Linked DNA regions of Rattus norvegicus. The protein of the gene in region 1 purifies or fractionates together with the protein of each later gene. This does not show direct contact. Links are inferred from orthologs where the notes say so. Each region holds a gene or a part of one and is shown in the gene's direction. Other genes may lie near its edges. The genes, in order: Pinx1 and Tert.

The links.
Region 2: the proteins of Pinx1 (region 1) and Tert purify together in Homo sapiens (co-immunoprecipitation; 3 studies listed by BioGRID and IntAct, with this or other methods). This does not show direct contact. The link is inferred for Rattus norvegicus from reciprocal best matches to the Homo sapiens genes PINX1 and TERT.

What each region holds. Positions count from the first base shown.
Region 1 is NC_086033.1:42,272,185-42,276,696, forward strand, and holds the start of Pinx1 (PIN2/TERF1-interacting telomerase inhibitor 1), read left to right. Parts: upstream 1-1,620; 5' UTR 1,621-1,751; coding exon 1,752-1,770; intron 1,771-4,512. UniProt on the Homo sapiens protein: Microtubule-binding protein essential for faithful chromosome segregation. Mediates TRF1 and TERT accumulation in nucleolus and enhances TRF1 binding to telomeres. Inhibits telomerase activity. May inhibit cell proliferation and act as tumor suppressor.
Region 2 is NC_086019.1:31,478,021-31,481,829, reverse strand, and holds part of Tert (telomerase reverse transcriptase), read left to right. Parts: intron 1-303; coding exon of another isoform or gene 304-448; intron 449-1,233; coding exon 1,234-1,429; intron 1,430-2,426; coding exon 2,427-2,607; intron 2,608-3,222; coding exon 3,223-3,402; intron 3,403-3,809. UniProt on the Homo sapiens protein: Telomerase is a ribonucleoprotein enzyme essential for the replication of chromosome termini in most eukaryotes. Active in progenitor and cancer cells. Inactive, or very low activity, in normal somatic cells.

The sequences.
Region 1 (4,512 bases):
AGAATATTTTTACATAATGCATGCTAAACTTTCTCACAGACTGTCTCAGGAACTATTCCTGTTACTTCTTACCTCTACAATGATTAATTAAATTATTAGCTTACTTTTTTTTAATTACCAAGAATAGTTTCTGCTCTAGCCAAAGCCAGAATAGAAAGGAGTTCCCTACATGCCCTAATAAACTTGCTTCAGACTCCAGGGCTGCATGGCTTCCATACTTTCTTTTCTGTCCTCTCCATACTTGCTCCTCCAACTCTTCTCAAACTGCAGTTAATGGACAGTAGAAGTTTACAATGCTCCCCAAAGACGTCTTCAGACAAATGACAAAGACTTTCAAAGGTAGCTGATGCTGTGATCCAAGAACACTCGCTGGGAATGCTCTCATTGGTCACTCCTCCTTGTCCTGTAAAGAACTTTTAGAGGAGTGAGGTCAAAGCTGGTATCCTCACTGAATGTGAGAAAATGCTCCTGTGTGCCCTTCTGGCTGCTGTACCTGGCCTTAGTGATCCAGATTAGGAAACGTGGCCCAGGGAAACGGAAATCTGGAAAGGATTTGGGGCAAAGCTCAGATGTCCTAAGCGGGTGATTTGGTCAGACTCAGCCTCATCACCACACAGTCACATTACTGCCTCTTCTTTCTTGTTAATAATTCGTGGTCAAGCACACAATCATTCTTGGCTGGGTGCTCTCATCTTACAGGTAGGTAAGTGACAGTCATGCCTGATTCTCAGGTCTGTCCACTCCCAACCCCGAGCTCTTCCTCCAACACAGCCATATTTTACCAGCACACCGCATCCTAGAAGGGTTGCACTGACTGCCATGGGGGTCTACATGGAATCTTGTTGGGTCTGGTGAAAAGTGGATGTTACCTTCCATAAAAAGACAAAACGAGGAAGAAGAGCCTCTGGAAGGTCAGGGCACTGGCCAGTGCTGAAGGCACAGCTACAACAAAGATTTGAGGAAAGCTAAGGTCTAGATTGGAAGCCAAAGCCTTGACAAAGAAAGGGACGTTGAAGGAAGAGGCTGGGGCCGGGGGTTGGGGGGAGGCAAGTAAACAGCTTGGGAAATTGCTGAGGTCACACAAATGGAGGAGAAAGGTCAGCAAAAAGAGGGCAACAGAATGTGTCAGGATGCATTCAGCAAATGCCAGGTATAGCATGTTGAGCGATGGAATTGGGAAAGGCCTTTGGGATTTAAGTCTGTCACAGCGAACACCACGGAAGAGTTAACATTTCTCGACCGTTAAGAACAAAAATCTGGTGTTTCGTTTGACTTTGACAGCTACGTGGCTGTTTCTGCCTTCTCTCCCTCCCTCCCTCCCTCCTCTCTCAGCATCCCCAATGAGAAGAGGTAGAGTGTGAGGAAAGTGGGCCCCCGCTCCACAGTGCCAATACCTTCTTCTTTGGCCATCTCGCCAGCTCTTTGAAGGTACCTATGGTTCACAGAACCCCGAACAACTTTAAGGTTGCTTGCATATCCGCTTTCTGCGTTAAACTGCGAACTGCTTGAGTCCAACGAGAGCTCTGCCCCAGCCCTAGAATGAATTTGTGTACCAGTCCCGCAAGGTGGGTCGGCCCCTCGGCTTTACGTAGTCCGTGGCGAGTCGCGCTTGGTGACGTCAGTAGTATGCGCCCCAGTGAAACTCTTGGACCCGGCGTGCTCTGTGAGCCGGCTTCTTCCCTAACTGCACTTCAGGCTCCTCATAACCGCTGGGCGCCAGACCAGAGGCAGCGCTCGACAGACTTGCGACAATGTCGATGCTAGCGGAGCGTGAGTGTCCGCCAAGCTGGACGACCGGGTGAAGGGGTGATGGGAGTGCGGGTATCCGGGCCCGACTGGGGACAGCAGTGACTGCCGGGCCCGCGAGGGACAGATCATCTATGTCCCGCAGACTCGCTTCTTGGAACTAAAAGCTTGGGCCGTGCGCGCACGCGTGGCGTTCCGACATTCAGGACACCGGGTCTCAGACTGTTGTCCCTTGCGCTGGGCATCGTGGCCAGCTGGAGGAATCTTTCACTTCTCGGGCTCAAAACAGCATCCTGGGGTTCCACAAAGACAGGTCCCATAGCATCACTTCAGGCCACGAATCCCAACTGTCCAAAATGTATTAGACCCAGAGAAGAAAAACAGAAGGATTACAGGTGTCAGGCAGTGATAAATCTCTGGCGGGAGTGCAGGCTGATGAATGGTTCTAAGCGAGAGAGAGAGAGAGAGAGAGAGAGAGAGAGAGAGAGAGAGAGAGAGAGAGAGAGAGAGAGGGAGGGAGGGAGGGAGGGAGGGAGGGAGGGAGGGAGGGAGGGAGGGAGGGAGGGAGACAGAGACAGAGACAGAGAGAGAGAGAGAGAGAGTGAGAGAGAGAACGAAAACGAAGTGCACTCTGAAGTGCACTAATTCCCTCCCCAGAAGCTACTTTACTTCTAAAAGAGACGACATGTAGCTATGGATTCTTGCCACCAGTTGGCAGTCGTGTGATGATCACCAAAAGCTGGCTTTTAACTTTTCCTGGAAGTTGTGTAGCTATCAAAGAACATAAACAAATTATTTCCTTTTTAAAAGATAATTGTGTCATTTTAGAACAAAGTATGTTTTAGTGGAGCACACTGCACATCCTGCAGGCAGCTCAATAGGTTATAGACTGAAAACTGCCCTTTCTAGGTAGATCCCTCTTCCTGGCAGTTCACCTGGTCTCTACTTCCATGAAAATGAACTAGTCTCCGCCTCAGCCAGGCTTAAAAATCTTAGTGAGGTGATTGCATGAACACAGTTTGGAATGTCAATGGTAGACAGGGCTGAACAAGTGACCTGGCAGCCAGTTCCTTACCCAGCATGGCAGTGCATCTTGTGTAAGTATGTGGCAGAGATGCATTTCTTAGGGGAAAGGTGGGCTCCTTACAAACCTTGCTCACCAACCCTTGGCAGGCATTCTCCAGACATGGGTCTGACACACACTTGTAGAACACTGGTTAATATGGCTCTCTTTGCTGTGTGCATGAGCAAGACAGTGTTGTGCTGAGTATATACCAGGTTGTTGAGCTGGGTGGATTGGCTTTTTCCCCCAGGCATAGCACTGCAAACTTGAGTCCAATTCAGTTTGCTTTGTTTTTGTTTTCCTGCCTGCATGCTTGTAAAGGGTTTTGTGGTTTTGCTGGGGTATGCATGCATAAAGATCCCTATTGATTTTACATTAACACAGTGAGCTCTTTTGACTGGAGGTTGTGTTATTTTTCAGTTTTGAGGCCATTGATGTTAGTGTGCTTAGATGAATGCCAGCGATAAAGTTGAGCTCTTAGGGATCACTTATGTAGGTTCATTTCAGAGAAAGCTTCCTGCGACACCAGGGCAGTTCCCTTATTTCAGCTATTCACTCCTTCCTCCTGTCTTCCTTTACTTCTCTCCTTCCTCACTCCTTCATGTCTCCATGCACTGTTATCAGGTGCCACTATGGACAGAGTGCTTTTTATCTTCCTCCTGAATGAAGTGTAAGGATGAAGGACTGAGTATGACATGTAAGGGGTGTGGAGGGACAGGACTCATGAGGAGGGGTATAAACACCACAGTGCAGTGGGGTGTGAAGTACCACAGATGGTTCCCGAGGCTGAGTGAATCCATTATGGTGTTGAATAAGAAGGGAGGTACCCTCATGATGTCCAGTTGACTCTCCCTAGGTCATAGTGACTTATGTATTGTGAATTAAGAATATAAGTTGGGCTGGAGAGATGGCTCAGCGGTTAAGAGCACCCGACTGCTCTTCCAGAGGTCCTGAGTTCAATTCCCAGCAACCACATGGTGGCTCACAACCATCTGTAAAGAGATCCGATGCCCTCTTCTGGTGTGTCTGAAGACAGCTACAGTGTACTTACATATAATAAATGAATAAATCTTTTTAAAAAAAAGAATATAAGTTGATCTGGGCATGGCAGTACACACCATTAATGTCAGTACTTGGGAGGTAGAGGCAGTAGGATCAGAAGTTGAAGGTCATCTTTAGCTATGTAGCAATTTTTTTTTAGTTGAAAAAAATTTTATTTTATGTGCATTGATGTTTTGCCTGTATGAGGGTGTCAAATCCTCTGGAACTATAGTTACAGTTTTGAGCTGCCATATGGGTACTGGGAATTGAACCCTGGTCCTCTGGAATAACACACAGTACTCTTAACTGCTAAACCATCTCTCCAGCCCACTACATAGCAAATTTCAGGTTAACTTGGGTGCTACGTGAGTCTCCATCTTAACAGTGCCTTAAATAGTAAATGTTGACATTTGTGAGACTTTGGTTTGTATAAAAGGTTTGGTCTTTACTTGGGGACATCAGGCAGATTTTATTCTCCCAGACTCAGGTTTTCTTTCTCTCTCTCTCTCTCTCTCTCTCTCTCTCTCTCTCTCTCTCTCTCCCTTTCTTCCTTCCTTTCTTTCTTTCTTTTAACTTTTTATTGATTCTTAGTGAGTTTCACATCACACATCCCAGTTCTTCCTGCTCATCTCCTGTCCCCTCATATACCCCCTTTGCCCTTG
Region 2 (3,809 bases), on another chromosome or scaffold:
GCCTCTCTGTTCCCAAATCAAACATCATTCTTGTTTTCTTAAGGTCACTGCTTGTTTAGTTTTAACCTTCCACGCCATTTTCTCCATATATTGACCTATTTTTAATGATCATTTTATGTGTAGGAATGTTTTGCCTGAATGTATGTATGGCGTGCCTGGTGCTGGGTCTGACCACACTGGAACTAGAGCTACAGGAAGTTGTGAGCTACCCCAGGGACCTCTGCAACAGCAGCCAGTGCTCTTAACTGCTGAGCCAGCTCTCCAGCCCTGTTTCCTTCCTTGTTTGTTCATTCTGTCTTCTAGCTTGTACCTCCTTCTGGGATTCCCCTTCTCCTTCACAAGTTTCCTTCATATTCATCACTGCTGGTAAACCCTCCTTTCCCTGGATAAGGAGGCCCCTGCGGTATCTGGAGACACACAGAGTGGAGCTCACACATCCAGCATGGCAGTAAGAGTTAACCTGTTTTCTACTTCATTCTGGACCTCTCTGAACTGTGTTCACTGCTCAGTGGCAATGGGTATGTGTAGTTGGTGACTTGGTAGTTTAGCAGTAGCTCCCACTGAGGTTTGCCTGTATATGTGTACGAGGTCTGAGGTTGACGCCGAGTGTCTTCTCTAATCGCCTGGAGCTGATCCTGCTGGAGTCCGTTTGCCTTTGCCTCCGTAGTGGTACTTGCAGGCACATGTCAGCACCCCTGGCTTTTAAAACATGGGTTCTGACGATTAAACTGGGTTTTCGCGCCCCTCCAGCAAACACTTTGCCAACTGAGCCATGCCCCATCCCCTATTTGAAGACATAATCTGATCTAGAGCTGGTAGAAGCTAAGGTTTGCTAAGTCAATCTAGCTCAAAAGAATCAGTCGATAGTTACAATGGTCCTAGATCGGATTCAGAGATTGATAGTGAATGGCTGTTGGGGGCTGAAGAATACCTCGAGAGCATTTCTCTGTCAGTCAGGGGTATTTCATCTGTAGTCAGTAGGCCTGCAGGATTCACCCACTACCGACACGGCCTTGTCAGGAACTTTAGTTTACAACATAAAGAAACCAAGCATGCATGCACGCATGCACACACATGCACACACACACATTAAATGAGTTTATTAATACATATTATTAGAGCCCAGCATGTCCAGTCCAGCACCCCATGGGCTCATTTGGGAACCGTGGCTCCTATGCCGGACATTATGGGTCTGAGGTTGAGTCACAGATGTTGAATATCTGCTACTTTCAGAGAAGGACACTGTCCCTGCCGCAGAGCACCGTCTGAGGGAGAGGATCCTTGCCATGTTCCTGTTCTGGCTAATGGACACATATGTGGTACAGCTGCTGAGGTCATTCTTCTACATCACAGAGACCACGTTCCAGAAGAACCGCCTTTTCTTCTACCGTAAGAGTGTGTGGAGCAAGCTGCAGAGCATTGGAATCAGGTACCACACAGCCTCTCAGGTATAAGCGTCTCCTATTTACATATCCAGAGGCACCGACACCCACACTGTGGCACCTGCCAGCCTGGGCATGGACCTTGCAGGCGTGGCCTCCCTGGAGCCATGGACTGGACACCCTGCTTTCTTGCCTGTGAAAGCATAAGTTGGATCCCTAAAGTAGGAGAGCTTTTTATCAATGGACTCCACCTTGTGTCTACCCCTGAAGGAAGTGTCTCCTCGGTGGGAGACCACAGGGGTCCACCCTGAGAAGTGGCAGGGCTCTGAGTGGCTGAGGTTCTGTGCTGATTGAGCTAGAGTTTGCTGTCTCAGCAGAAGTTTACAAAGGCCAAGCTGAGAGGGCAGAGGAGCGGCCAGGCAAGGCCCACAGAGAGTGGATTACCATGTTAACTTTGTTTGTTGTTTTGTTCTTGTTGTCCTGAAACTAGTTCCATAGCCTGGGTTGGCTTCAAACCCCTAAAGATCCACCTGCCTCTGCCTTCCAAGTGCTGGGATTAAGGGTGTGCTCCCACTACCACACAGCTCCGTGTTAGCCTTCTTGAGGTCCAGCCTTAACTATGTATCTCACATCAGCCATACATTATGCTTGTGGGGATTCTTAACAACCAGCACAGGGCTTCCTGGGGGCAGGCATGGACACGTTTTGTTTTCATACCTGTGTCTAAGCCAGAATATCCATAAGAGTCAGCAGATTGCTTCAAAAGTGTCCTGGCCAGTGGGACAACCCCACCCCCACCCCCCAAAAGAAGGGAACACCAAGTGGAGACTATGGGACCAGATGTCCCAGGTACCAACTCAGGCTAGGTGTCACATGCCCCTCCCAGACAGTTCTATGGGGTGTCTGGTTGGTGTGGGTTGCTATGGTCCTAGATGTAGCCCCATAGCATGGTTGGGTGTCAAGCGCTCCAAGTTCCCAAGCGCCCCGATGGGACGTGTCTCGTGAACTATGCATGTCATAACTCCACGGTACTCTCTGCAACAGGCAACAGCTTGAGAGAGTTCAGCTACGGGAACTGTCACAAGAGGAGGTCAAGCATCACCAGGACACTTGGCTGGCCATGCCTATCTGCAGATTGCGCTTCATCCCCAAGCTCAATGGTCTCCGGCCCATTGTGAACATGAGTTATGGCATGGACACCAGAGCTTTTGGCAAAAAGAAGCAGGTGACTGAACTTGGCCCCCCCGTACGGCTGGTCGAGTCTATGCTCTGACCTATGTAAGGGCTCATGAAGTTCTGAGGGAGGCTAAGTAACTTGTTCCTGAGTCTAAAACCTTAGCATGTGGAAAGGTCTTAAGAGATAGGAGATGGTACCAAGAGACAGAGAGCTTGGGACACAAGCTCTCAGGGATCTTGCCAGGTAGGGTAGGCACTATATGGCCTCTATGCTGGGAGGCAAAGTAACCAGGGGCAGCTGCCACCCATCCCCATATCTGGATGTCAGAAGCAGCTCTGAACCCCACCAGTGCCTGTGTGGTCATTAGTAAGGCCTCAGAGGACAACATGAAGCTACTGGTGCCTCAGCTCAGCTGGAAGCCCTTGTAAGGCGACCCTGACCCTGACTCTAACCAGTGGGCGTGTTTCTAGAAGGCCCGTGGGGGGTGAGTGAGAACAGGTTGAGGCAGGTTGGATAAGGGTCCCAAATACAGTCAGTTGACTTAGTGAGGTAGGTCTTCTAAGACTCTGGCTCTGAGCTGAGGTTCTGGGCTCAGAAATCAGGGTGGTCAGGGAATGGTCTGCCGGGTCCCTTTCTGATGTGTTTTCTGTGGCCCTGGCTCAGACCCAGTGTTTCACTCAGAGTCTCAAGACTTTGTTCAGCGTGCTCAACTACGAGCGGACCAAACATCCTAACCTTATGGGTGCTTCAGTACTGGGTACGAGTGACAGCTACAGGATCTGGCGGACCTTCGTGCTGCGTGTGCGTGCTCTGGACCAGACACCCAGGATGTACTTTGTTAAGGTCATCATTTGGACTCCTGTCTACCACATTTGCTCTCATGGTCTGGGTTCTAGGGACCTCCTTGGAATAGCCAACACTGGGTGACCTGTTGTACCTCAAGCAGGTGATTGGGAGTGCTGGCCTGTGAGTGCTTACAGGCTAAAAGTGTTAGGGCCTCCAGTTCTCTCAGGATCGGGGACCCCACTTTTTGGGGGGCGGATAACTAGCTCTCAGAACAGTCTTGAGCTCTATATGGGTTCCCTGGACAGTACATTCCAACTGCTCTGGGTTCTGCTCTGTGGGAGATCCCTCTGGAGGCTGGGTCCTATTCAGAGAAGTAGCCAAGCCTGACTTACCACCAGGGCCTGGACGCTTCAGTATCTGGGTTAGCCAGGGGCCCTGTAGGCCCCAAGGTTCTTCAAGGATAA